7 linked regions of the Ovis aries genome follow. The protein of the gene in region 7 interacts with the protein of the main gene of each other region in a biochemical or structural test. Links are inferred from orthologs where the notes say so. Each region holds a gene or a part of one and is shown on either strand. Other genes may lie near its edges. The genes, in order: APOE, VAMP2, ENSA, SNCAIP, GBA1, FYN and SNCA.

The links.
Region 1: the proteins of SNCA (region 7) and APOE form a complex in vitro, tested with the Homo sapiens proteins (2 studies listed by BioGRID and IntAct). The link is inferred for Ovis aries from reciprocal best matches to the Homo sapiens genes SNCA and APOE.
Region 2: the proteins of SNCA (region 7) and VAMP2 form a complex in vitro, tested with the Homo sapiens proteins (3 studies listed by BioGRID and IntAct). The link is inferred for Ovis aries from reciprocal best matches to the Homo sapiens genes SNCA and VAMP2.
Region 3: the proteins of SNCA (region 7) and ENSA form a complex in vitro, tested with the Homo sapiens proteins (2 studies listed by BioGRID, with this or other methods). The link is inferred for Ovis aries from reciprocal best matches to the Homo sapiens genes SNCA and ENSA.
Region 4: the proteins of SNCA (region 7) and SNCAIP form a complex in vitro, tested with the Homo sapiens proteins (3 studies listed by BioGRID and IntAct, with this or other methods). The link is inferred for Ovis aries from reciprocal best matches to the Homo sapiens genes SNCA and SNCAIP.
Region 5: the proteins of SNCA (region 7) and GBA1 form a complex in vitro, tested with the Homo sapiens proteins (2 studies listed by BioGRID). The link is inferred for Ovis aries from reciprocal best matches to the Homo sapiens genes SNCA and GBA1.
Region 6: of the proteins of SNCA (region 7) and FYN, one has a biochemical effect on the other in vitro, tested with the Homo sapiens proteins (3 studies listed by BioGRID). The link is inferred for Ovis aries from reciprocal best matches to the Homo sapiens genes SNCA and FYN.

What each region holds. Positions count from the first base shown.
Region 1 is NC_056067.1:52,423,423-52,427,681, reverse strand, and holds the start of APOE (apolipoprotein E), read right to left. Parts: upstream 2,801-4,259; 5' UTR 2,641-2,800; intron 746-2,640; exon of another isoform or gene 690-745; intron 504-689; exon of another isoform or gene 262-503; intron 1-261. UniProt on the Homo sapiens protein: APOE is an apolipoprotein, a protein associating with lipid particles, that mainly functions in lipoprotein-mediated lipid transport between organs via the plasma and interstitial fluids.
Region 2 is NC_056064.1:27,613,617-27,617,792, forward strand, and holds the start of VAMP2 (vesicle-associated membrane protein 2), read right to left. Parts: upstream 2,801-4,176; 5' UTR 2,699-2,800; coding exon 2,697-2,698; intron 2,193-2,696; coding exon 2,072-2,192; intron 1,606-2,071; coding exon 1,447-1,605; intron 1,354-1,446; coding exon 1,302-1,353; intron 740-1,301; coding exon 723-739; 3' UTR 1-722. UniProt on the Homo sapiens protein: Involved in the targeting and/or fusion of transport vesicles to their target membrane. Major SNARE protein of synaptic vesicles which mediates fusion of synaptic vesicles to release neurotransmitters.
Region 3 is NC_056054.1:100,620,821-100,624,902, forward strand, and holds the start of ENSA (alpha-endosulfine), read right to left. Parts: upstream 2,801-4,082; 5' UTR 2,676-2,800; coding exon 2,619-2,675; intron 958-2,618; coding exon 832-957; intron 1-831. UniProt on the Homo sapiens protein: Protein phosphatase inhibitor that specifically inhibits protein phosphatase 2A (PP2A) during mitosis.
Region 4 is NC_056058.1:29,243,268-29,247,221, forward strand, and holds the start of SNCAIP (synphilin-1), read right to left. Parts: upstream 2,801-3,954; 5' UTR 2,460-2,800; intron 2,354-2,459; exon of another isoform or gene 2,293-2,353; intron 1,975-2,292; exon of another isoform or gene 1,832-1,974; intron 1-1,831. UniProt on the Homo sapiens protein: Isoform 2 inhibits the ubiquitin ligase activity of SIAH1 and inhibits proteasomal degradation of target proteins. Isoform 2 inhibits autoubiquitination and proteasomal degradation of SIAH1, and thereby increases cellular levels of SIAH.
Region 5 is NC_056054.1:105,402,867-105,405,943, reverse strand, and holds the end of GBA1 (lysosomal acid glucosylceramidase), read left to right. Parts: intron 1-229; coding exon 230-454; intron 455-1,140; coding exon 1,141-1,304; intron 1,305-1,671; coding exon of another isoform or gene 1,672-1,706; coding exon 1,707-1,823; intron 1,824-1,915; coding exon 1,916-2,021; 3' UTR 2,022-2,577; downstream 2,578-3,077. Other genes in the region: MTX1 (metaxin-1), read right to left, coding at 2,704-2,918, 3,022-3,077. UniProt on the Homo sapiens protein: Glucosylceramidase that catalyzes, within the lysosomal compartment, the hydrolysis of glucosylceramides/GlcCers (such as beta-D-glucosyl-(1<->1')-N-acylsphing-4-enine) into free ceramides (such as N-acylsphing-4-enine) and glucose.
Region 6 is NC_056061.1:26,093,748-26,097,253, reverse strand, and holds the end of FYN (tyrosine-protein kinase Fyn), read right to left. Parts: intron 1,169-3,506; coding exon 960-1,168; 3' UTR 501-959; downstream 1-500. UniProt on the Homo sapiens protein: Non-receptor tyrosine-protein kinase that plays a role in many biological processes including regulation of cell growth and survival, cell adhesion, integrin-mediated signaling, cytoskeletal remodeling, cell motility, immune response and axon guidance.
Region 7 is NC_056059.1:35,535,541-35,539,587, reverse strand, and holds the start of SNCA (alpha-synuclein), read right to left. Parts: upstream 2,801-4,047; coding exon 2,680-2,800; intron 1-2,679. UniProt on the Homo sapiens protein: Neuronal protein that plays several roles in synaptic activity such as regulation of synaptic vesicle trafficking and subsequent neurotransmitter release.

The sequences.
Region 1 (4,259 bases), on a different chromosome or scaffold from region 7:
CCCTCTGTATCTTCCCATTCTCAGCTCCAACTTCACATCTAAACGCTGTCATCCGCATATTCGCTAATTTAATCCTCATTTAGAAGTCCTTCAACCCACGCTTTAGCTACCGTGCCGCCGCCCCTGAGCCTCCCTTACCGAAAATCTTAGGACAATTGTGGGCATCCAGTAGGTGCTCAGTAAACAGCAGTAACAGTTAGTGGGTTTTTGCTATCTCTCGTCTGGTTTTTCCTGCAGGTCCAGCTGCTCCCCTGAACCCACCTTCCAGTCCAAACGGGATACGCCTGCTCCCCACCCCTCTAGGTCCAGTCCCCTGTCTCTGGTCTCCTCCTCTGCTCAAGCTTTTGTCCTGGTCCGGGCGGCGTCGGACCGTCACCTCGTCCACCTCTCCCGCAGCCCGTCCCCCACAGAAGCCCTGAGCTGGTCTCCGTGGCCCCCAGCTCTGCTTCTCACCGCGCTCTTCGCCTCCGGAAACCGCGTCCTTCGCCTCCGGGATTGAGCAGGGACTCACGGATCCCAGATTCGTCCAATTATAGGGCTCCCCCCTGGCCCGCCCACTTCTCCTGAGCTGGGGCAAGCTGGGCCAGCCCCCTCAGGTCACGAGGTGGGCTGTCCTCCCCCTTCACACACAGCAAGGAGGGGAGGGGGTGGGGCCTGGAGGCCTGGCAGCCCCCACTCCCAGCCCCCTTGAAAAGATGACTTCTCACCCAGTAACTCAGGCGGCTTCCTCCATCCTGGTGGGTAGGTGAGCTGGTGAGGGCTGGGACAGTGGGCATGGAAGGGGCTGGAACAGGCCACTGCCCACAGCACCCATCCCCTGCCCTTCTCTTTTCCAGCGGATGGATGAATAGAATTTGGGGAAAGGACTGGGGGCCTGAAATCCCTGGTTAGAGGAAGGAGGGGGTTGGGACTCTGGGTAGGGAGGGGGAAGGGAGCTGGCTGGCTGGATAGAAATGGGATAGGAGTTCTGGGGACAGTACAAGGTATCTGCTACAAGCCCAGGCTTTGAGAGTGCAATCTGGACTTTACCATGAGCTCCCTCTTGCCCTCTTCCCTTGGGCACAGGAGAGTGCCTCTCTTGAGCCCCCTTCCCCGGTTGAGACCTGAAAATCCAGCATTTGTCCCAACTGTGTATTGTTCCTTCAGTGGGGCCTGAAGCATGCTTCAGGACTGTGCCTGCTTAGGACTGTGGATTCCAGAACCAAACTGCTCAGGCCTGAATCCAGGCTCTGCCAGTTGTCAGCTGTGTGACCCTGAGCCAACGACCCAGCCTCTCTGAACATCCAGTTTCTTGGTCCACAAAACCAGGAAAAGAGTTGCACTTAACACCGTCATTCGGTGAAGCAACAGGCTACTGTGTGTACTGAGAACAAGTAGGGTTAGCTGGCAAACAGTGGCCCCATGTTGGACTTCAGTTCTGTGCTGGGCCACAGTGAACACTCCTGTCCCTCCCTCCCTTGCAGCCCTGTTCATGAGCCCCAGCTGTTTCACAGACGGGCATCCTGAATTGAGAGTGTTGTAGCCACACTCTCTGCTCTCTGGGAAGTAAACTCACTCAGAAGGACAACGCAAATAGTGGAGTGCAGTTTATTACACCAGTGGGCCCAAGGCAGAGTCTTCTCTTAGCCAAGGACCCGGTCAGTTTTTGTGACAACCTTATATACCCTAAGTGTACATGCTCAAACCCTCCTCCCCGAATTCCTCAAAACTAGCCTGGATAATGTGAAGGGGCTAAATCATGATTCATATATTAGTCCAGACACCTAATTAGGCTAACATATATCAATAGGTTTTGTGCAGATAACAATTTGTTTTCCTCTGGGGTAGATTAGTATATTCTTTTCGGCGACAGAAAGTCCAGGAACAAGTTCTGGAGTCCCTTTATCCAGGGGTCTGTTTTTCAGTTGGAATGTTGCTTTTATAGATTCCAGGCACAAAGCTCAAAGTCCACTGGGAGAACACCCCGGCATGTAGTCCAAAGTTTTCAAGAAGTCTAAAATGGGGTCCTGCAGCCAAGATGGAGTCCGCTTTGCCCACTTTCCTCTTTTATTCCTCTCTCTTGATGCTCCTAACTCTCAGTGGGAGCATCACTCATAGGAATATATTGTACCCTAGGCCTCCTAACACCGATCTGGGAAAGTGAGGTTCGTCTCTAGGTTACAAAGTTAACAACATGTTGTAAAGTGCAAGGGCCGGATAACAGAACTATTAAAATGACAGTGAGCGCAGTTTCACACCAGTCACCCTTTACCCAAGATAGGACCGAGGTCCAGAAGGGAATATTTTCATCTGACATTGCTTTTGCTTGGTCCCTCATGTCACCCAAAGCAGTCGTTACAGTGCCAGATAAATCAGGAATGTATATACAACGGTCAGCCTTAAGTATGGCACAGGTTCCATACACAACATTCAACCTTAAGTATGGCACAGGTTCCTCCCTGTGAGGCGGTGAGGATGTCTAATGCCATTCTATCCTTGATTTTTGTTGTCTTACTTGATGCAAAAAAACCTCATAGTCATATCACCCCTCTGTAGAGGTGATACGCGCCGTGGGAGCCCGTCCATCCCAGATAGAGGCATGGCGCTGGACTGGCCCAACAGCCTTGTGCCCCTCTTTAGAACAAATCCCAGATACCTCACCTCCTCCTGGCAGATCCGAGCCTTCTTTTTCGAGACCGGGTAACCAGCCTCTATCAGCAGTCCCAGCGAGGCCTTGGTTCCTTCCCAGCAATCATCCTTGTTCTCAGCGGCCAGGAGCAGATTGTCCACGTATTGCAGCAGCCAACAACCAAACTTTTCTGGCTGAAATGCGCCTAAGTCCGAAGCCAGGGCTTCTTCAAAAATGGTTGGAGAATTTTTAAACCCTCAGGGGAGGGGGGTCCAGGTTAGTTGTTGTTTGGCGCCCCCTGTTGGGTCTTCCCATTCGAAAGCAAAAATTGGTGGTGATACCTGGGCTAGGTGTGTACAGAAAAAGGCATCTTTTAAGTCCAGACAAGGATAGAACTTTTGCACTTCGAGGGAGGAAGCTGAGTAAGGTATATAGGTTTGGGACTGTGGGTTGCAGGGTCATGGAAGCTTGGCTGACCAGCCTTAAATCTTGTATTGGCCTATAGTCCTGTCCCCCTTCCTTTTTAACTGGCAGGATTGGTGTATTTCATTCTGATTGGCATTCAATCAGGATGCCGGCCAGTTTCAGTCTATATAAATGTGGCAGTATGCCGAGACGAGCCTCCAGGGGCAATGGATACTGGCGTTTTCTAACCGGGGTGGCACTGGGCTTAAGTTCTATTATTATTGGAGCATGGTGTTTGGCGAGCCCAGGGGGGTTTCCTTCTGCTCAGACCTCGGGCAGTTGTTGAGCCAGTGTTTCCTCCCGGCCGTTCATCCCCTCTAGTCTTTTCTCAGTATATTCATGTAACCTCCATTCATCTTGTGGGGTAACTGAGAGGGAGAGTAAGTAAGTAGCTGGGCGGGTCAATGTGCAAAGTGGGGTGTTCGTGGGGGGAAAAGGTCACTTGTGATCCCAGTTGAGAGAGTAGATCTCTTCCTGGTAGAGGTACTGGGCATTCAGGGATATATAAGAACTCATGAGTCACTTGGTGGCCCCCGCCATCTGGCACTTTTAGGGCTTACAGAATTGTTTAATCATTTCCTTTCCAGGTATCCCAGTTATGGCAGTGGCCTTTTTCGAGAGAGGTGCCGTGGGTTCAGTTGCTACTGACAATCCTGCTCCGGTATCCACCATGAAGTCAGTAAGTTGGTCCCCTGCTTTTAATGTTATCATGGGCTCTTGTGGACCTGTGTCTCTGAGCCCCGGCATCCCTATTCAGTCTCTCATCCGTCAAGGCTTGCCACTGTACTGGTTGATTCCCGGCTTTTAGTGGTTTTAGGACATTGGTTTTTCCAGCGGCCAAACCCTCGGCACCAGGCACGCTGATTGGGCTGTAACGTGGACCTAGGCTTTCGTGGAGGTTTCCTGAGGGAGTGGTCTCGTCTCCAGGAGGGAGGGGCTTTCGTGGGCAGCCTGGCAGGCCTTCCCAAGGCCACGGCTAGCATTGCAAATCTCTGGTCTGCTCAGTTTTTCAGTTTCTTTCTTGGCTTCCACATCTCTGTTTCTGAATATTTTGTTTGCAATTTCAACTAGTTGGGAGCTGGACATTGATAATACTCCATCCAGCTTCTGGAGCTTTCTTTTAATATCAGGATAAGCCTGTGACACAAATGTTGAGTTTATAATGATGTGAGAGCCCCTGGCTTCG
Region 2 (4,176 bases), on a different chromosome or scaffold from region 7:
ACCACCTGCAAGTAATGTCATGCAAATGAAAGTGTGATACAAGGACCAACAGGGACTAAATCCTCAGTAAAAAAAGAAACACAGGTTGAAAGACTGAACAGAAAAGTGATGGGAGGGAAAGGAAACCAAAAGGAATGTCAGTAGGCAAATGGATGCTAATTAACATGCTAGAAGCTCCCAGAAGACCATGGGATTCTTAGGACCAAGAGGGACCAGTCTCAGAGCCTCCCAATGATGCAAAGAAAATGCACCTAGGGAAGCCTGGACAGTTGCTTTTTGTCTTTTTTGTATGGGGGTGAGGGTGGGGGGTGGGGGTGGAGGTATGGGGAAGGCCAGGGTGGGAGGAAGGGTCAGCTAAATCCAAGGGAAGGAGAGGAAGAGGGACTATTGCATAGCAGATGCAAATGAAGGAGACTTGGGGTTGGTCAAGAAGAGAGGGAAAGGGAAGGAGGGAAAGAGGAAAAGGAAGTGATGAGAACCTCAGGAAGGGGTGTTAAGGACAACTGGAAAAAATCTTCTAGTAATAAAACTACAAACAGACCAAATATATATAATATTATATATGTATAAATAACAGCTGGCTATTTACAAGGGGGCGCACACACGACACACACACACGGATCCGGGGGAGATGGGGCTGGAAGATATGGCTGAGAGGTGGAGGAGCGGCTGGGGGTTGGGGGGAGAGGCCCTTCTCTGGGCAGGGCAGGCTCCTCAGGGGTTTAAGAGCTGAAGTAAACTGTGGAGAGGGAAAGAGAAGGAAGAAGACGGAGAAGGGAGGAAGAGAAAGAGAGAAAGCAGTGTGTCAGCCCAGCCCTGCTCCCACCTTCCCCACCTCCCAGCTAGGTGACATCCCTTCCCCTCTTGGCCTCAGGTTCTTCACCTGTAAAGCAAGGAATCTACACAGATTGGTTCCCAGATCTCCTCAACTCCATGGTATGGCCTTGGGGCCACAGATCCCTAATCCTCTGAGACCACAGCTCTCAAACAATGGGGTGGTTTGCTTCCCAGCTGTTTCTCAAGCCCCTCAGTCTCTGCTGCTCTCCCACTCCCCAATTCCAGGTTCCCAGTCTATTATGCTCTTCCTGTTTTTGAAAATCTTAACAGAAATGGCCCAGAATCAGGCAAAGTGCAAGCTAAACAACTTCAAGGTTTGGGGCTCTAGATGAATCAGAACTGCTACTGGCAACCATATATACTTTTTCCTAAATACTAAAATCTAGGTTAATGACCTTCAAAACCCAGAAACCGCAGGGGAACCCTCTCCATGAAAGGGCCCTAGCCACTCCCACCCTACTCACCGATGATGATAATGAGGATGATGGCGCAAATCACTCCCAGGATGATCATCATCTGGGGGTGAGGGGGAGGCTCAGTGAGACAGACCAGGATACTCCCATTCACCCCCCACCTCCTCCCTGTCCTCCCACCTGCCTCCACCCTTACCTTGAGGTTTTTCCACCAGTATTTGCGCTTGAGCTTGGCTGCACTAGTTTCAAACTGGGAGGCCCCCGCCTGGAGGGCGTCGGCACGGTCGTCCAGCTCCGACAGCTTCTGGTCCCGCTCCAAAACCTTGTCTACGTTCACCCTCATGATGTCCACCACCTGAGGGAAGGCCCACAAGGCAGCGGTGTGTGTGCCAAGGTCCATCTCAAAGGGCACTCCTCCACACACCATGAGCTCACACAGGGAACAGGCATCATGTGGCCTGGCTAACATGCCAAGGACATATACAGAACATGCCTAGCACACCAGAGAAATGCAAGCAGCACACAGCAGGGGCATGTGGTATCCACACTGCTCAGATGTCACAGCACCACTCTTTATTTACTGAGCCTCAAGCAGCCTTCCGTTCACCAGAGCATCCACCCAGGGTGAAACACCTCAGGTTAGCCAGGCCAACATCCCCACGGGCCCTCCCATACTTGCACGCTGACAAGGACGGGCCATGGTATATTTTCGTACCCAAACATGAACTGCCATCACCCCCCAACCCAAAATGGACCCCCGTGTCGGTTTGTCAACCCTCAGGGTCCTTCCCACTGTTTCTGACACCACCACCTCCACTCACCTCATCCACCTGGGCCTGGGTCTGCTGCAGTCTCCTGTTACTAGTGAGGTTTGGAGGGGGCGCAGGAGGGCCTCCCTCCCCAGCCGGGGCGGCAGGGGGGGCGGTGGCAGCGGTAGCCGACCTGAGGGGCAGGGACGGATTAAGAACCAAGGCCTGCAGCCCTTGGCCCCGCAGCCAGGGCTCCGCCCATCCGCCTGTCCCTCCATCCGTCCCTCCCTTCCTTCTTGCCGGGTAGAAAGCCACTCGATGCGAGCCCTGGCCTCCGTCCGGGCCCGCGGGCGAGCTGCTGCGTGACCTTGAGGGAGGCCCCCTCCCCCTCGGGCCTCAGTTTCCCCGCCTGTCAAACGAGGGCGACCTCACAGACACGGTCTGGGGTGGACCCAGCAGCGATGATAGAGGCGGAGCGGCCAGATGGGGAGTCCGCCCCCTCTCGCGGTCAGCCTCCGCGCGGCCAGCCCGGGACGCGGGGCTCTCCTAATGCCCGCGCGCAGTCACAGGCGCCGGCCTGGTCTCGGGACGCGGGGCGCGTGGGGGACGCGAGTCGAACCCCGAGCCCTCCCCAGGCCTGGGCCTAAGGGCGGCGGCCAGTGCCGGCCAGGCGGTGCAGGTGCGGGCGCCGACTCACATGGCGGGGGCAGCGGGCGGAGGACTTGGCAGCGGCAGTGATGGCGGCGGCAGCGGAGGCTCGAGCTGGCTCCGACTGGCGCTGGCTGCCCGGGACGGGAAGATGGCGGCCGCACGTCACCCACATCCGGGCACTGCGGGCGGGGGCGGGGCGCGGCGGGCCACTAGTCGGCCGCCGGGCCGCGGGGGCGGGGCGCCGAGGGCGGGGATCGCGGCCTGCCAGGTGGCGGGTCCGGCGCCGCCTGGCCCCAGCCTCTCCCTCGCTGCCTGCGAACCCTGAGCCTGGTGGCAGGGCTCCCTACACCCACCACTAGCCCACCGGGTCTGACCCCAGCCCTCCCCGAGGTCCTCGCGGTCCCCCTGCCCCCACCGCCTGGCCCTTGAGGCGCCCTTCAGCCCCAAACACATCCTCCTCCTCGGTGAAAGCCGTCAACCTGTCCGCACCCCACGCAGCCCCAGGTCCCAGCCTGCTCCCACGTCCCAGTGCGGGTTGAGCAGCCTTGAGCATTTGGAAGGAGCAGGGGGGTTGGAAATCAGAAGGAGCAAGTGCAGGTCGGAGGCAGTGTGAATAGCTGGGATCCTGGGAGTGGTGGGAATTGATCCTCAACCCTCTGCCTTGCGAGTGGCTATCCAAAAGGAGGTCTGGGAACCGTGATAGCAACCCCCTCCTCGCAACTGAGGTTCAGACCAGGGTTCCTTGGCAGGCGAGGCCTGTCTGAGGTGGGGCAAGCTTGGGAACCCGGGAGAAGGGCACTACGCTGCCCTGTGGGGCCGCTTCATGTGGTGGCTTCAGACTGGCAGAAACCTAGCTCTGACCCAGAGTTGAGTAGCTACCCTGGCAGCCGGAAGAGGGCTCAACCTCTGATCCCAGGCACAGGGCTAAAGGACAAGGCTTACGCATTTTGTTTTGTTTTATTTTGTTTTGTTTTGGCTTTTCTTTACCGGGATGGAGAGTAAGTGGGCAAGGGCGGCACCTGCGGTACGCAGGGACTTGGTACTACTTTACCTAAGGATTAGCCTCATGCGTGTGACATAACAGCTCCTGTCCTACCTCTAGACCCAAAATGTATTAGGTGTGTCGAGTCTATACCTATATTTGTTAAATGTCTAGATGTAAGACATGGTAGGGAATTATCCACAGCCCTTTCCACACCTGGTCTCTGTTTAGGTCGTCTAAACTGGCCCAGCATCTCTCACCCACCCACCGTGCTCTTTCCAGCAGGAGTGGCCCCTCAGGAAGGAGGCGATGGGTGTAAATGAGCTGCCTGTCCGGTGGGTTGTGACAAGCCTCAAGAGTGAAGAATGAGGCCCAGTGGCCCTGTTATAGAAACCGTGGCGAAGGCAAGAGACAAGCAAAACTCGGAGATGTGGAACAGCAAGGTTTATTCCGCACTGGTGCAGGCACAGCAGAGTTGCCTCCTGAGGCTGAGCACCTGGGCTTTGTTCTGGGTATCTTTTATATGGCGCAGGCTTATGGGTCC
Region 3 (4,082 bases), on a different chromosome or scaffold from region 7:
GGCTTGTTTCTGAGGATAATGTACTTTCCTCCTACTCCAACCACTCCCACACATGTTCCATGGCTGGGAGAGCCTGCCTACGCCTGTCTTGCTTACAGCAAGGTAAGCTGCAAATCAGCATCACTTCATCATCTGTGACTAAGACTCAGTAACTGGGATTCTCCACAGAGATCTGTTTCCCTCTCCATTTCATCTGCATAGAGAAATACACTGCAGGTTAACGACTGACAACCCCTCAGTCAGCTTTAGGTACCTCTGAGGACTGAGGAACCCGAAGAGGAGCTAGAAGGCTATGAAGGTAAGACTCTCCCTTGGGAGAAGGACCACTCTGGACTTTTCCAGTGAGTCTCTTCAGGCACCATAGTTAATGGCTGGTGCTAACTTCAAGGGCCTGAAGAAATCATTTCAAGTTGAGGAAATCTGTAGGACAGATTTCTGGGCCTTTCTTCGGAAATGATGCACCTCAAAATTTAGCTCTAATCCTACATCTGCAGTCCTAAAACTCCCACCATCCAAACAGGCAAACATCTGGAGGCTGTCAGCATTCCAGACTCTGACATCCTTCCCTCACTCTTCCAAGGCCATTCCTACATGCCCCTCCATTAAGCTTTAGTATCCTGAGGGAAATCAGAAAATAACTGATACCCTTTCAGGAATTTACAGTATTTGCCTTGGGTTTGTGGGTTTTTTTTTTTTACCAAGTTTCTAATTTTTCTTTACTACTTCCCAACAACAAAACCTTCATATCAGTGTTCAGCAGAACTTCCACAGATCTCATCCCTAAAGCCCCTTTGGTTCCAAAGTAAGAGGGTAAGAGATTGTGCTCCATACCCCTTTCTGGAGTCTCTTCATGAGGAAGTCGGAGCCTCCAGGCTTTTGTCCCAGGCTTGGATATTTGGCTTTTAGCTTTGCCTCCTCAGCTTTCTCAGGGAGAACACCTTCTTTCTCTTGGGTGTCCTGGAGGAAACAAATGGGGCCAGTAAAATTAAACACTGAGAAGCAATGCTTCCAATATCTGCTAACTTTTACACTATTACCTTTTCCTGGAGATCTACCCATTTGTAAACATGCTATTCACACTCTTAAATAAAGCCAGACCTTTGTTCAAATCCCTGAAGCTCAAGATGACTGTATTGTGAGAAAAAAATATAAGTGTGACTGTTTGTCACACTACACCTAGGGAACCACCCCAGTGACCTGTGAGTACTGAGTTAAAGGTAATACTGAAGAACAATACTTTAATCAAAGAGCAAGCAGTAGCTCACTTAGAACAGAAGCTAGGAAAGACAGAACAGAGCTAGCAGGGATTCTGGTGATGCAAGATTAGTAGGGAGATCTCCAGCTGTCTGTAAAATACAGTACAGGTCAAATGGGAAATTGAAAGGGATAACTGTTGAGATGTTCCCTCCTAAGCTAGGCTTTTGATAAATCTCTCTATGGAGGCTAGCTCTGTGGCCTTCTCCAGAAAGCACCTTAGCAATGGTCAGTAATGGAAAGCAATAATGGACAGCATTGTTTCCATAAACATTGTAGTAGGAAGGTGACAAGTAAACAGAAATTAATCTCAGGAAAATTAAGATATAGTGGGTTCACTAGTACTTACCCACCACCTCTGTCAAAAAATCAACACCTTCCCTAGTGATGGAGGTTTGGGAACAAGCCAAGAGCCCAATTAACTTGCAGGGTCTCTTACTGTTGTTGTTACTCTCTGCCTCCCTTTTTTGTGGGCCCTGTCGCCCTCTTCTTTGACTTTTTAAAAAAGGACATGAAGCCAATTTGTGGTTCTTTTTAGTGGAATTGCATTCCTTTGCCTTGAAAACCTGGCCCATATATAACCCAGGGGTATTTAATGAACCCGAGTCCAGTACTAAATGTTATAAATCAAATACAAAACACCTACAGAAGTTGCCGTGTTTTCATCACAGAATTGCGGGTGAAATAAGTCCCCACTATCTTAGAAGTCGGGGGGAAATATGGTGGCGTCTTTCTTTTCATGACTCTCTAGGGGTCTTTCCTAGGTTAATCTCCATTATTCTGTTTGAAACTCTAGCCCTCTTCAATTTTGTAAGGTCCTCTTTGAAGGTGGGCCAACAGACCATCTCCAGCTATCAAAATATCTCTTTGAGAAAGTTGCAGTCTTAAATTAGCCATGATAATTACTCTTCTCCCTTCCCCCGGTGCTGACCCCTTTTTAAACGTCTATATCTTGACCTGTATCTTTAGGATACAGAATGCAGGACCCAGCCTGGCTGTTGGTTCATTTTACCCCTACTAACCTATAACATACATCTCATCCGGAGACCACCAACCCCCTTTCATTCACCCACTCTTTTCAAACACCCGCCCCACGCTCAGATTCGGCCAATTACAGCACAGCTTCAATAGGCCTAGCAGTAGGTCTACTGACCAATCAGGAAGGGTACTATACTGATTGACAACCCAGCCAACTAACCAGAGCCAAAGCAGCAGGCCCTGTTGAAACTCACCCTGCATGACGCAAGACGTGGCCAACCCCTGCAGAGCCCGAGACCATGGCGACCAATCCGCACTGGTGGGAGACCGCCTCCCGCCCCATCACAATCGCCCCCAACTCGCCCACCGCACCCCCTCCATTTCACCTGCTTCTCCTCGCCGGTCTCTTCCGTAGGGTTCTCCTCTTCTTGTTTCTGGGACATGCTGGGACCGGGACTGTGGAGTGTGGGGGACCCGGGAAGTCAGCCGGAGAAGGGAAGGGGGAGGGGAAACGGGACAACCAGCACTGCTTCTTCAGCTCCTGTCACTAGGATTGCTCAGTCAAAATGGCGGCCCTTGCCTGTGACGTTGCGACCGCCCCTTCCTATGGGAGCCAGTGGGAGCTGTGGATAGGGCAATGACGTAACGATCTACCAATAGTTGCTGGCTAAATGTGGGTTCTATGGAGGCGACGGGCAAGCTGGAACGCCGATCTGGGAAGAGAGTGACTCACAAGGACCAATTGGAAGCACGTGGGGGAGGTTAAGGGGTGGTGCTGGTAGCTTTGGCATTTTCGCTCCTTTCGTGGGGGTCAGACTTTCTGCCGCCCTACCTCGTCGCCCCCAGGGGGCTTTTCTGAGCTTCGAATTGGAGAGCGAAAGGCTGGAAACCTTTTATTTCCAGGTGAAGAGGATTAAGCTTCGCGCAGTAGCAGAAAATTATCAATCTCCAGAAAATAATAGGAAGGTCAGAGTGGACTTTAAAGTGGTCCTCCTCACTCTTCCAGTGTGTCATTTAGGGTGTGGAATGGAGAGACTGAATGGTCCAGCAGAATATGGATGGCTTACGTTTCATCGTTTAACTCTTAACGTACAGTTTTTTTATTCGTTCAGTGCCATCCCATGGAAACTGAGCTCCTTGAAACAGCACAGGTCTAGGTACATGGTAAACACTGCGTAAATACTCGCGAACATATTGAGTGTTTGAAGATGGTACTGTTTTAGTTTTACAAGGAATATATATGTAGTAAGGCAGTCTTTGCCATAGAGGGTTTTCACAGTATGCTAGGTGTACCCAAATCTTCGAGATTAAAAGAGACTCATCTTCCTAGAGTGTTAGTTAAAAAACGTCATTTTTATATTAAAACAGTCTAATACTAACACTGAAGAATTGATATTAAATTTTAATTTTCCAGGGAACCTGTTGTGGCAGCTTTAGGGCTATCTGTTCATTTTTCTGTATAATTAAGTACATTTCTAGTGGGAAAATCTGAGAATCTTAGAATACACAGATTATTATACAAGGCAAAATCTGGTCAGCTTGAAATTAAAATGTTAATAAAGTGGTAAAGGGGTTCAAAGGAAAGTTCACATTCAGCAAATGGCAACCCACTCCAGTATTCTTGCCTGGAGAATCCCATGGACAGAGGATCTTGGCAGGTTACATACAATCCATAGGGTTGCAAAAGTTGGACAGGACTGAGCGACTAAGCACCCTACCCACCCCACCCCCCCCCCCGCCCGACCCCCCACCCCCCAAGAAAAGAAGACTTAATGATGGAGCTGTGTATTTGAAATCAGCTTTAATTTTGCCAGGTAAAGGTGATGGAAGGACATTCTAGGTGATGGGGT
Region 4 (3,954 bases), on a different chromosome or scaffold from region 7:
AGTGGCAGAGCTATGACACAGTAGGCAGAGAAACTCATTTGCCTTAGCCCCTTCCTTTTGGACATCCATACACAGTAGCAAATGTCAAATCAATAACTGCAGCATCATTTCAAATCTACCATATTGTAACCTTTCCTCATGAAATGCTTGCTCTAGACAAAATGAAGTTTATGTTCAAAGCTGTATTATTTATTTTTTTATATTTTATTTCTAACTGAGATGTCCAAAGATCCTTAAGAGAAGCACCATCTTCTTTCTGTGTCTAGACTTGAAACTCCTACATATTTGGGTAATCTTCAGTTAATACTGCCTTCCAGAGAGACTTCTGCAATGGGAACAAAATGTCACACTTTTTCAAATAAAGGACACCTGAAGGGTGTCTCCCTAGACTCCAGCCAGGCTGAACGTAATTTAACATTGAGATGCATCAGAAGTACCCAACAGACATTCTCTAGATGTGAACCCATTAGCATACTGCTTTCCTAAACCTTATCCTCTCTGTCTTTGAAAATTTCAATATATACAAAGGAAATACAGATTTCAACCCATTCCCAACTGGGACGTCTGCTCCATAATAAGAGAAATAGGTTTTTGCCTTTCTGCAGATTCAGCAGGGAAAGCCATGCTTGAAAATGATGTGTTTAGAGTGACACCTTGGAGAACTGACACCCTCTGCACACATGCAATCCTCATAAACCTCCCCAGACAGCCCTTATTTCATTCTGCACACTGCACCCTGGCTGGGCTCCACAGCACATGGTGTGTGGTGAGACTGTCCTGCAGTGGTTCTCCCTTCCTGGCGGCTCTTTGATGGACAGTTGTCGGTAATAGCCAGGAGGAGAGGGGTCCAGCCACCAGCAAGTGAAAAACGGGCCACCGACAGTAAGCTTCCTTAATTAACTTTCCCAAGGCAAGCCTGTTCCCACAGGAAAAAACACCACGTTTCCCCTCTCCTAGCGGTCCATTGAAAATGAGCAACAATGCTGTTGCCTTTTTGTTTCCTAAAGACTTTCTTCCCCGCAAGCAGTAGCGTGTTCCTCAAAGAATGCTAGTATTTCCTGTGGAAACTGTATGGCTGCCAGTAATGGCTCATAATTTTCCCTCTTTTCCTTTCGTAAAAATGAAATAAACAAAACGTGGCATTTGACAATAGCCAAATTACCAGTCACCTCGCTTACCACCTGCAGATGAGAGACATCACCGCGAAAGGAGGCCAGGAGAGAAACACTCCTGGCTACAATTGACCCGGACGAGCGGGGAACACAGGACAGCGCCCGAGGGTGGTGCCCTAGAGAACCGGGCAGCCAGCGGGCGGCGGTGCCCAAGAGCGAGGGGCTCCCCTTGGGCCGCGCGGCAACCCCAGGCGTCCCTCTTTCGCGATTACTATTATTGTCGGTACTGTTTCTGTGACTATTACTTCGTCCCTGGTTACCTCAGTTCTTAGGAGCCTCGGCACTGCCCATCCCTGCCTCCCACACCATCCCAGGTGGCAGGAAGAAGAATAACCACACGAAACCGGCAAAGGAAAAGAGCAATCCTTTGGAACCTGAGGTGGGGGCTCCTCCCCCCTCCCTCAAGAAGAAGAGAAGCCGCTTGGCAGGCGCCGCCAACGTTACTATAGAGACCTCCCCCCAAACCCTTTCTGCAGAGGCACCGCCGCCACTCGAGCCGCCGGGATTCGCCGCACAAAGGGGCCCCCCCGGGGCTCACGGCGGGGCGGGGGGCACCCCCGCCCGGGTCGCCCGGTGCAAACTTGGAAAGGCTCAGTCGCTCGCGCCGTCGCGCCCCACCCCCGTCTCCCCGCGGCGCCCACCCCGGGACCTGGACTCACCCCGGGCGCCCGGCGCTGCGGCTGCTCAAAAATGCGGACGGACGGACGGACCGACGGACAGATGGACGGCGGCGGCGGGAGCAGGAACCGCGGGAGCCGGCGGGCGGCGGCCGCGCTGCCGCGGCCCCGCTACGTCACAATGCGGCCGGGCCTCCGGCGCCGCTCCCCCCCGGGCCCCCCAGCGGGCGCGCGGCAGCGGGAGGAGGGCAGCCCCGGGGCGGCGGGCGCGGACCTGGCGCGGAGGGACGCGGGGCGCCGAGCGCGGCGCACCGCCGGGCGGGGGCGCGGTCTGCACGGCCGCGGCCGCCGCGCCCTCCCGCCGCCGCCGCGCGCCCGGCGCCCGCCCCCCGGCCCGCGAGCCCCGCGCGGCCTGACTGACGGCGACCCTCCCCCGCCCGCCCCGCGGCGCCCGCCGCGCGGCGGCCCCCAGCCCCGGCCGCGCAGCCTCCGCGCCCGCGAACCTGCTCTTTTCTCCTGTACCTTTGGCCCTCGCACCTCTGTGTCTCTGCTGCTCAACTGGCTGTCTCCGATCTCCTCCCCTCGCACTTTTTACCCCCTTTCGCCTCCGCCCCCCACCCGCGCTGGGCGGCCTCTCCCCCCACCCCCGGGAGATGAAATCGCCCCTCACCGTGATCCCTGCGTCAACCGCTGCCATCTCATTGGTCCCCAACCCATTCCAGGGTTCCAGCCTCGGCCGGGCAGAGACACTCGGGCAGGGGGCGACGGAACATGGGCACGGTCCTGGGAAACGGCCCTGCTTCAGGAGCCCCTTGGCAGAGGATCTTTGCGTTGGCACAGTCCTAAACCCCAATCCTCCCCGCCCGCCCCCAACCCGGTCTCGCCCACCCTCGAGGACTTCGCCAAGGAAGGCAGGCTGAGGGGTCTTTGCCCGGAAGGTTCCGTGCTCGAGTATGGGTGGTGGATGGAGGAGACTTTGGTCTGAACTGATGGTGTTTCTAATTCAGCAACGTTTAATACACCGACGGCCCTTTAGTAATATGAACTTTAAGCAGCTCTGTCTTGATTGGGAGGGGGCGGGGAGCTGCTGGACGAGGCATCCGTCAGTCAGCACTGGTGACTGACTCTTTCCTTCCTTATTTCCGAAGTGAAGTCTGGAGGAGTGGAACCATTGATGCTAACCTTGGCTCACGATCGTCTCGCTCTTGCCCTTTGGAAAGCTTTAAATGGTTTTTAAGAAGGCTCTTTCCCCACCCCGGCAGAAATGGCTCAGAGAAGCTCACTCAGCAAAGCCTTTGAGGGCCACTGTCCTGCTCCTGGGTGTGGCCGCTTGTCTGATGCTGCTCCAGAGCAAAGTGTGAGGAAGCAAGTTCTCTCGTCTGTCTGCTTAGGGGCCGCCTGGTTCCCTTGCCAACTCCGGAGGACAAGAGTGGCGCAGCGATCCTGGGAAATTTGACCCCATCTGGGTTAGTGGCAGTGGGATGTATAGCATGTGTAAGGCTGTCACTGAAAACATATTACCAGTAAAAAAGGAAGGGCATGGTTGTTTAAAAACTGTGGTTGCCTGGATGACTAGTGTAGTCCCTGCGAGGTCCGGGGGCTGCTGTGTTGGCGCTGCAGGGAAGAGGCCCCTGTACTATCCGAGGACACACCCAGCCCTCCCTGCCCTGGACCTCTTTGGATGAGGAGTACATAGTCTCTGAAATAAGGACTGCCTTGAAGGCCAGCAGAAGACATTTCACATGCTTTTGATTCCATTTCCAATTGAGAAACTAAATTTCTCTCTCTGCTGTCTTACATAAACAGCCGAAAGTATGTTCTGCCGGTGTGGTAATTTGTTTACTGTAATTCATCATATATAAGACTTTAAGTACATACACGGAAAGTGGCTTCACAATTTGAAAATACCCACTATCCCTCAGAAAATGTAAAATCAGATGACATCATATGGCACTAAAAAATACTTGAAAATATTGGGTTTAATTCTTTCACATCTGGTTAAAATAAAAATGCCTTTTTTTTTTTTTTTGCCTACTATAAACTCTCAGAAAAGCACATCTTGCTTCCATCCAGTAGATATGGATGGAGTTGGTGTCACCCTTGATATGTTCTATACACAACACACTTTTATTGCCATCCTCTTAAATATTTTGACAGCCTGCTTT
Region 5 (3,077 bases), on a different chromosome or scaffold from region 7:
TGGCTGGGGCCAGGTGTCCAGGTGGCACTCCTGGGATGCTGGGGGTAGTGTTGACCCCCCTCTGGGTCTCCAAAGCCCAAGAATCTCCTAGGTTGTCACTTTAACCCCCTCTAAGTTGTGTTCATCCTGCGCCCACCTCTCAAGTTCTAGTGCCTCCTCCAGATCCCTCGTGCAGGACCCAGGCTCCATGGTTCTGTCTCCCCAGTAGCCCTTCCCTTTCTCTGTCCAGGTGCTGGCAGACCCAGAAGCAGCTAAGTATGTTCATGGCATCGCTGTACATTGGTACCTGGACTTCCTGGCTCCAGCAAAAGCCACCCTGGGGGAGACGCACCGCCTGTTCCCCAACACCATGCTCTTTGCTTCAGAGGCCTGTGTGGGCTCCAAGTTCTGGGAGCAGAGCGTGCGGCTGGGCTCCTGGGATCGAGGAATGCAGTACAGCCACAGTATCATCACAGTGAGCCACCTCAGTCTCTCCTTCCGCACAGCAGACCACCTTGGGCCCCTCACTAGTCTCACCAGAGGCTGACAGGGGGCCCTCCTCTCCAGCTTTTCCCCAGCTTGCTTACTCTTGGGGGCAAAGTTTGGGGATCTCATGATGCCCTCTATTGCCTTCCCTTCGGAGATCTGTGCACCCCATCACCTTGTTCTGAATGCTTGAGCCGTTGTAGCTGCCTCAGATTTCTGAGTTTCTCTGGCGATGCCTCTGCCCTCAAAACCCCTCCCTCCGTAGATTTTTAGTGTTTGGCTGTGCTGGGTCCTCGTTGCCGCTCGGGCTTTCTCCTGCTGTGGCAAGCCAAGGCCCCTCTCCAGCCTTTGTGCACAGGCTCATTGCAGCGGCTTTTCTTGCTGTGGAGCACAGGCTCCTGGCATGCCAGCTTCAGTAGCTGTGGTGCATCGGCTCAGTTGCCCAGTGGCATGTGGAATCTTCCTGGATCAGGGATCGAACCTGTGTCCCCTACATTGGCAGGAGGATCATTAACCACTGGACTACCAGGGAAGTCCCCTCCTTAGATATTAAGGATATAAAACACACCCCTCCCAGGGCCGAGGCCCCACAGCCCATCTCCCCCATGTGACACTTAACTGTATTCACTGGGGGCCCAACGTGGAACCTTTGTCTCTGCCCTGTTTCCACCCTAGAACCTCCTCTACCATGTGGTTGGCTGGACCGACTGGAACCTCGCCCTAAATCCTGAAGGGGGACCCAACTGGGTGCGCAACTTTGTTGATAGCCCCATCATTGTGGATATTGCCAAGGACACATTTTACAAACAGCCTATGTTTTACCACCTTGGCCACTTCAGGTGAGTGGAAGGTGGGCACTCCGACTCCATGCCAGGCCTAGCATCTCCTGCACTGGGCTTGGATCACCCACTATGAGGAGGCAGGAAGGTGTGGAGAGTGGGAACCTTGAGAGGCTTGCATCTGTCCCTTTTGCACCATGTAGGTAGGAAGTGACTAGATGGCATTTGAGACAGACAATTCCTCAATGCCTGATGCTGAGGTTAGGAGGCAGGAGGGCAGGGCATATCTAACCACTTGGCTGGAGGCCTGGAGAGTTAGGGCACATCTTAGGAATGGTTCTGGGGGCCGGTGTGGGGGTGGGCAGGGTGGTATAGATGGTAGGGAAGGTGACTTCTCAAGTGATAGACTGATGGAAGCTACCCTCAGGGCTGGGGTCCCTGACAATCCTGTTCCCACTTCAGCAAGTTCATTCCCGAGGGCTCGCAGAGAGTGGGGCTGGTTGCCAGCGAGAAGAGCGACTTGGACACGGTGGCACTCTTTCGGCCTGACGGCTCTGCGGTTGTGGTCGTGCTGAACCGGTGAGAGCAGCGGGGCCTGGGAACTGGGATGAAGATGAGACGGTGGGCTTGGCGGGATCACACACTCCACTACTCCTCCCTACCTCCTCCAGCTCCTCTAAGGATGTGCCTCTCACCATCAAGGATCCCGCCGTGGGCTTCATGGAGACTGTCTCACCTGGCTACTCCATTCACACCTACCTGTGGCGTCGCCAGTGATGGAGCTGATACCCACGCTTGCGCCTGGGCTCAGCTTGGACATTAAAGGGACACGGTCAGCCCACATGCCGTCTGTGGCTACAGAGGGTACAGCAGGACCAGGGGGAGCTTAAGTGACGTAAGCCCAGAGGCAGTGGTTTGGGTGACTCATTCTCCCCTCTAGTTGGTGCCAGGGGCTGGAGGGCCCTAGGGAAAGGATCAGGAAGCCCCAGTGGTCCTCCACCCCCGTGCTTGTGTGAGCGTGTGCTATGCGCTGGTTGCCTGTGGAAACTGGGCCCCGGCCCAGGGTGAGCTCACTGTCTGTACAAACACGGGTGGGGGGTGGGGTAGATGGAGAGAGAGGTTAAGGAAAGGAAGAGACGAGGGAAGCCGGACCCAAAACTGGGAACTGTTTGTCTTTCTTGGAGATGCAGAACCAGGCCTACGCAGATGTCCGCACCCAGGCACAGGCAGTGAAAGAAGCCAAGCACCAGAGGGTAGACTCGAGCACCAGATGGCCCCCTGGTACCAGCTAGGAAAAATGGCAGCTGCTTAAAAGACAGAATGTCTGATCTCAGTCCATGTGAGCAGTTTTATTTCGGGGGGGTGGCACCCCATTTCCACCATACCAACAATGGGGAAACACAGGGGCCTCTGGAATGCATGACAGTAGAAAAATCAGTCCTGAGAGCATGAGGATAAATCATTCCTCTTCATCCTCCTCAGCTATGCCCAGAGCCTGGGTGCCTGGGGCCCGGGCAGATGGTGCCCGCTGGATGGAGACAATGCCACTGAGCAAGGCGTAGCCGGCCATGGCTGCCAGCCCCGCCAACACGGTTAGGATCTGGTTCCGGCGCCGGTGTGGCTCCTCCTCAGACTCTGGGTTCGCTGGTGTCTGGCGTGGAGGTGGTGCCTCAGCTGAGGGGAGAGGAAGGGAGGTGGGTGAGAGGCTGGTTCCTGGGTCCCTGCCCACTCTCCCCAGGACTAGCACCCCCCACCTCCCCACCCATCCGCCCCTTACCTCCTTCCCAGGGGAAGTACAGGCTGAGGATGTGGGTGCAATAGGCACAGAGATTG
Region 6 (3,506 bases), on a different chromosome or scaffold from region 7:
ATAAAAAACGTTGGAAACATTTCAGCATTCGTGTTTTTATACAAGAAGTTTGTGTGGTATCCATCCTCTAGTTTCCCTGGTGGTACTGGCCACTTGCTTGCTTTAAAGAGGCTCACTTTTAAGTTTCAAGAACAAATCATAGTAAGTTGAAGCAAATACTGGAAAAAGAAATTGTGAATTCAGCTTGGGCCCTGATAAGAGTCAAAGTAACAGCCATCTACAGGCACAGTCATGAACCAAAAAAGTACAGTCCAAAAACAAACAAACAAACATGTTTTGCAAAAGCCAAAAAGTGAGGCCACTGGTTTTCAGAACACCACCAGTGCTTTTATGTTGATTTTCCAGTCAGATCCTCATTCTGGGTCCTGAAGCTTTGTGGCCAAGGTTGGCCACGGTCTCCATGTTAGCACCCACATGGTGTATGCACAGGGATATATAGATTATATATATTCATATCTATAAAAAAAAGAAAAAAAAAAAAAACCAAACACCTGTCCTGATTGGATTTTGTTAAAACATGAAAAAAAATTTTATTGTTTTAGACAAAGAGGCCACTTTTGGAAAATAATACTTTTTTTTTTAGTTGAATCAGGTGAAGACAGAGTTAAAATCACATAGGATTTGCATTTTAAAAAAAGGAAAGCACTAGGATCGTTGGCACTGGAGTAACTATTTACACTGAACAGAGGTTTGGCCTTTTACATAACATCGATACAATGCATTTCCAAAGTCTGAGAAATAACAAGGTTCTGTCTCGAATGCTTCACAGAGGAGGTTCGGATTTGGGGACAAGTGTCATGAATGAGGGCCATGAAGTTCGTCAGCTTCAGAGTCACATGCAATCTGATCCTGGACGGTTCTGGCTGCTCTGCTCGGAGCAGCTGGCTATGGAATTGAAAGCTAATGGGGAGGGGGCGGGGAAGCCTCTGGGACCAGGCCTCTCTCTGCAGACCCAGGTCTTACAGGTTTTCCCCGGGTTGATACTGAGGCTCTGTTGCGGTGAAGTAGTCTTCCAGGAAGCCCTGCAGGTACTCGAAAGTGGGCCGCTCTTCGGGGTCCTTTTTCCAGCAGTGTATCATGAGCTCGTGGAGGGAGATGGGGCAGTCCTGTGGACAGGGCATCCTGTAGCCGCGCTCCACCTGCTCCAGCACCTCCCGGTTGTTCATGCCTGCAAAGACAAGGGCCATGAGAGAGGGCGCCCCTATGTCTTCTCTTTCTTCTCCTTGGAGCCTACAGGTGGTTAAAACATGTTGAGTGCGCCCACCTCACCCAGAGGTGAACCCTGTCTTCAATGGGCTATCTCACCACTCAGAAATAAAAAAGGACTCCCCTACTGACACATGTGAAGCCCTGGAGGGTAAATCTCAAAAGCATTAGAAGCGAAAGAAGCCAGACACAAAAGGCGACATACTGCATGATTTCATTTATATGAAATTCTAGAAAAGGCAAAAACTATAGTGATAGAAAGCAGATCAGTGGTTGCCAGGGGTGACGGGGAGGGCAATCCTGCAAAGAGGCCGCAGGGAACACAAGGGTGATGGAAACGTTCTGTATCAGCAAACCCTCCCTGTAAAGGCCAGGCAGTAAAGATTTTAGGTTGCATACTATCTCTGCCGCATATCCTCCATTTTATTTATTTTTCTACAACTCTGAAAATAGAAAACAAAGACAGGGCAGGAGCCAGATCTGGCCTAGAAGCTGTAGGCTGCCAATCCATGTTCTATATCCTGAGTGTGGAGGTGTGACTGTTTATGTTTGTCAAAACTCACGGACTTCTTAAAACTGTAGAATTCTATTGTATGTAAATTATACATCAATTACACTGACAAAAACATGAATGATAAAAACAAATCCAGGGAATGAAAACTAAACTGTCCTTTGTTCACAGGACCTATAAGCTCTGTTGATGTACTTCATAAACTGGCTGTCCTCGTGCCTGGACAAACTCTCAGTGTTCAGCCATTCGAGATCCGCCATCACGCCATCAGTCTGGGCACCGTCCAGCCCAGTGACCCCCAGGTGCCCTGGGTTAAGATGACTCTGACAGGGAGGCAGGGCACTGTTTACTGATGACTTCGGACAGGCCATCAATCACGGAGACCTCTGTGACCCTCTGGGGGAGCTGCCCGATACAGAGGCTTCGGGATGCCTGGAGCTCACAGGAGACGTTCTGGGAGACTGCCAGCCCTCTGGAGAGTGCAGCCTTCCTGCACACTGGCCTTCTCAACAGAACAGGAAATACCACATAAGGGGTGGATAGGGGGGCTGAATGCCCTGACCCCTTTCTCAATCACTGCCAGGCTCTCTTCTCTGGTTTGATTCCCTTTTCTGCCGTATCGTGTTCTGCCATCGCCTGCCAAGCTCTTGTATGTTTTGGCTGCTCCTTGGCCCTGAGCCTATAATCTGGAATCCTCTCCAGCTTCTGACCCAGTTAATTTATAAAAGCAAAAACCCGAGTTTCAGCCATTCAGAAACCCAGAATTCTTCCCCTGGCTCTCAGAGCTCCGATCAGCAGGACATAGTGTGTGCATGTAGCAGCTTCTGGAGGAGACGGCAACCCGCTGAGTAGAACCACCCAGCCAGAGCAGCCGGGCCAGGTCACAACCCTGTCCCCCTGTCCCCCAGAATCGCGCAGATTCTGGGATCTGTTGCCAGTTCTCTTTGTTGTTGTTTTTGGAGCTGGACTGATTCCAGCTCCCATGACTGTCAACCACAGCCCTGTCAGTCACATGCTTATCCAAACCCTTTCAGGATGCTTTCTTATTCTCTGCCATTGTAATTCCTTGAGGTGATAAAATCTGTGTATTATTCCTGCTGTGTTGAAGTAGGCCTTCAATTTAATTATTCTAACATAACTCTGCTCACATTTTGGCAGTGACCCTTATTTTAGTGAGAGAGGCTTGGTAGTTGAATCTGGGTCCCCTTCCTCCACGCCATGCCTGACTTCACAGGGGCTCTCTTCAGTTGGATGACTGGTCAGCTCTGTAGTTAATTACCTTACATCCTCTTCCAACCACTGAAAAACTCATTTTGATAAATCAGGTGGGGCAGGGGGGTCGGTTGGAAGCAAGGGGAGATGCTGAGGTTGCCACTGGAGGGTCCCGCAGTGCTCTGGACAAACGGACAAGGACCAGCATTTCCTCATCCACAACCCCCAATCCAACAAGCTCTGCAAAGCACAAGTTCTGGGAACTTCCCTGGCAGCAAACTGATCTGAACTCACCTTGTTTGGCCATAAAACCTGACCTGGTGTGAGGTGCTCGACTGTTTTTCTTCATTTATACATACTGCTGAAGAATTAAGGATGTGTCTGAACACAGAGTGCAGCCCAAGACCCTCCTAAGGTGTTGTACAAATTATGGTCTAAGCACTATATAGACTTTCGAGAAAGAAAACCAAGTCTGACTGTGAAGCCTGTCCAGTGTTGGCTGTGAAGCTCTGGCAGGAGTGGACAGCAGCCACTACATTCCAGGAGCTCAGAAAGGCTAGGAAGAGAGCATGAGGCC
Region 7 (4,047 bases):
ATCCTTAATGGAAGCTATGGAGTTCGGATGATCATGATGTGTCAATGTAGGTTCAGCAGTTGTAATGAATGTACCATCTGGTAAAGGATGTTGGTAATTTGAGAGGTTATGCATGTGTGGGGTTTGGGGTACATGGGAAACCTCTATATATCAATTTTTCTGTTAATTTAAAACATAAAAATTAAGTCTTTAATTTTTTAAAAGTATGCCTTTTTACTTATAGGTTCGGCTTTATTATGATGTTCTCACAAGAACTCTACAGGGTACTTGCATGTATTCAAACTGTATTTTTACAAATGAGTAAAGTGATGCTTAGATATGTTAAGTACCTTTCCATTATCCTAGAGGTTAAAAAGTGCTGTAGTCTGGACTGGAATTCAAGTTTGACATCAAATCTACATTTTTTTCCTACTTTATCAGGAGTCAGTAAACTATAGCTTATGAGCCAAATAAACTCTCCAGCTGTTTTGGTAAGTAAAGTTTTATAGGAACATAGTCACCCTAATTATTGTTTATGGCTGCTTTCACTTCAGGAGAGCAAAGCTGATCAGCTGAAACAGACATCATACCCTAAAATTATTCACTACCCCTTTAGGGAAAAAGCTTGCCAAAACCTGGTAGTACTATAACTTCACAAGGTCATACTTCATCCTGAATTATGTATTTGTGTTCAACTTTTAATTGACTTTAAAATATCAACTGATAAATAGTATATAGAATGCACTCTGTTAAATACCATAATGAACACTGAAGATTATTTTTTAAAATATGTATACATAAACAAATTGAAATTTCATATAATAATCTCAGAGAAAACAACAGAATTAATCTCTAAAAAATTGTTATTTTATTTGCCCAAACTCATGGGTGAAAATGAAAACAAGTACAATGTTTTCCAGATGATAATCCTGCTTATTACCTGGAAAACAGCACCATGTTAATTTAATAGTCAGTGGTTCTTGGACTCATTCAAAACTAATAAATCAATATTATCCAACTAAAAATATCTTAAAAGTAACTAAGCTATAAAGTAACTGAAATCAAGGAATGGTTACAAAGCATGCACTTGTACAACTTGGAACACTGAGGACAAATATAAAAATACTGATTATCTAAATGTCACTGATTCAGTATTCCAAATTCCACCTAAAAAGATACAATCCACATTTCACAAGAAAAAAACTGAGTTTAACTCATTGACTTTTCCCTCTTGTAAGATCTTTCAATTCAATGATTTTCTGAAAATACATTTTAAGATAAAGAGTAATTTAACTAGAGGTTTGTGGTAAGATTGAACCAAAATAAAAAGTCTATGAACAGTGAGAAAAAATATGAGAAATATTCATAAAAATCATTCCAAGTATAACTTTTCTCCAGTCCATCTCTATTGAAGAGACGATATAGCTTTCCTTCACCCCACAGACATAGACAGAGTATTCTACACAATCCATTATGCTCATCCTCCACTTTATTACTCATCCTTTGGCTACTGGTGCTACACCTGCTACCAGAGAATGTGAGGAAAAGGAGGAAAAGCTCAGAGGAGAAAAGAGAATGGGCAGTGTGTGAGTGTATGCTCATGTGCCCGTTTGTATCCCTATAGATGAGTGTGTGTCTATGTGTATGCCTATTTCTTCACCCAAAGAATTCCAGGTGACTTGTAAAACAACACCCAACCTAACACAGTTCAAGATTAAAAAAAAAGAGTAGGGCTTCCCTGATAGCTCAGTTGGTAAAGAATCTGCCTGCAACGCAGGAGACCCTGGTTTGATTCCTGGGTCAGGAAGAGCCTCTGGAAAAGGGATAGGCTACCCACTCAAGCATTTTTGGGCTTCCCTTGTGGCTCAGCGGGTAAAGAATCCAGTTGAAATGTGGGAGACCTGGGTTCAATCCCTGGGGAGATCTGGGTTCAATCCCTAGGTTGGGAAGATCCCCTGGAGAAGGAAAATGTTATCCACTCCAGTATTCTAACCTGGAGAATCTCCATGGACAGTCCATGGGATCACAAAGTATTAGACAGGATGGAGCAACTTTCACTTCACTGCAAGAATACTCTGATGTGGGAATTTATAAACAAGGAAAAACAGTAAGCATCTAATTTATTGTATCATTTGATAAATGAACTATATAAATGTCTCAGAGATATTAGCAGCCTTCAAGCACTTTCTTGAGCTTAGTCCCCAACTTACCAAGTGGTCACAAGAAGTAACTCCAAAGACTTGTCTGTCCTTTTCTTTTTAGAGTCACAGTAGGTCTCTCTTTACATATCTCAAGATTATATCAACGTCTTACTTTTAAATTAGAATACACTGAAGTTAGCATATATTATTCATGAAGATAAATCAAAAGCTCATGGAGGAGTTTGATTTTAAGATACTATTGAATATTTTCTGAGACTGAGTTTTTAAAAGTGTCCTCAGAGCTATAGTTACTTATGCATAGAAACATTCATTTAAAAAAAGAAAGTCCTAAATATTACTGCAAAATTAAATAGTCTGGAAAAACAAAATAGCCCCACTTTGTATATTAGCTCAAACACACACATTCACCTACTTACACACACCTCTGATTCAGCCCATCACTTTGAGGAGTGGTGAGAAATACCAGCATTTAAAGCATCAATCATCCTAACCCATCAATCCCAAATAAATATCAAAGTGACATTTAGGGCTTACCTACCTACATAGAGAACACCCTCTTTTGTCTTTCCTGCTGCTTCTGCCACACCCTGCTTGGTTTTTTCAGCAGCAGCCACGACTCCTTCCTTGGCCTTTGAAAGTCCTTTCATGAAAACATCCATGGCTAACGAATTCCTTTACACCACACTGGAGAAGACAAAATACACTTTAAGAACTTCTGCGTAAAAAACAAAATTAGAACCACCCAAAGTAAAAACTATTGAAAGATCAGTAGAATCCTCAAAAGAGTGAGATTCTCTTAAGTGTACCTCCATTTCAACCACTGGACAAAGGAGGCTTTTCTTAGCTTTTGCATTAAAAATTTAGCATCTCCCATCCATCTTGGCTGGATAAAGTCTAGCCGCCTAAACATGGATTAGGATGAATCATATGAGCTGTTCTTACGCGTTTCCGAAGTGGAATTGCACGGAAAGATAGACTCCTCTTTTAACTTCCCAGGGTCCAAATGGTGACAGTATAAGTTAGAAGTGCGTTTAGAAGACATCACAGGAAAAGGAAAGGGACCTGAAGGCAGGGGGTCAGGGACACGCTTACATTCCAAAAGGCAGCTAACAGATCAATCACGAATAGGGGAGGGAAGGAACCACTCACTCTGGGTGTGGCTGAACCTCAGGCCAACTGCGAGCCCACCGCCCTCGCTCTAATTCACCCAACCATGCACCCGACCCTGGGCTATCAACCCAGAGCGTGCAGGAGGGCGCGAGTTCACAACCACGGAAGCCTCAGGAGGCGCGCCAGCCACCCGTGGGGGCGTTCTCAGCGCCTGGAACCCGCCCCCTACCCTGCGCCGCACCTGTTAACCCCTTATCACCTGTTGACTCGCCCTCTCAGCGCTCCCACTTAACGATTTGCCAAACATAGCTTGTTTACTTCACAGAGAGAACAGAGAGGGCGGACTAGAGGCGGGGGGCGGTTAAGGAAAGCGACAAACAAAAGTTGAATACTCATACTCCCTGGAGCATCCTCGCGTTTCCCAAAGGAGAAGCTTATCCCTGAGAATCCAGACCTCTCGGCCTCTGAGGACGAGAAGAGGGAAGCAGTCGAAGCAGGAGGCAAACAGGTCAGTTGCCTTTCCTCACGCTCACCCTAGGGATAAGCACTCACCTCTGAGAGAGGCTCGACTACAGCTGGTCCTCGCGGCAGCACGCCCACCCCACCCCCGCGCGCCCCGGGGCGCCCGCAACGACTCTTCTCCCACCAGGTGTTCTCCACGACTTCCAAAGCTGCCCAGTTAGTTCCACAAGCACTTACCAGATTTCCTCGGCTCCACGAACTCCAATTTCTCCCCCACCCCCACTTAAAAAATTTAAAAAACAATTCCCAAATGTTATTTAAGTGGGAAGAGAGA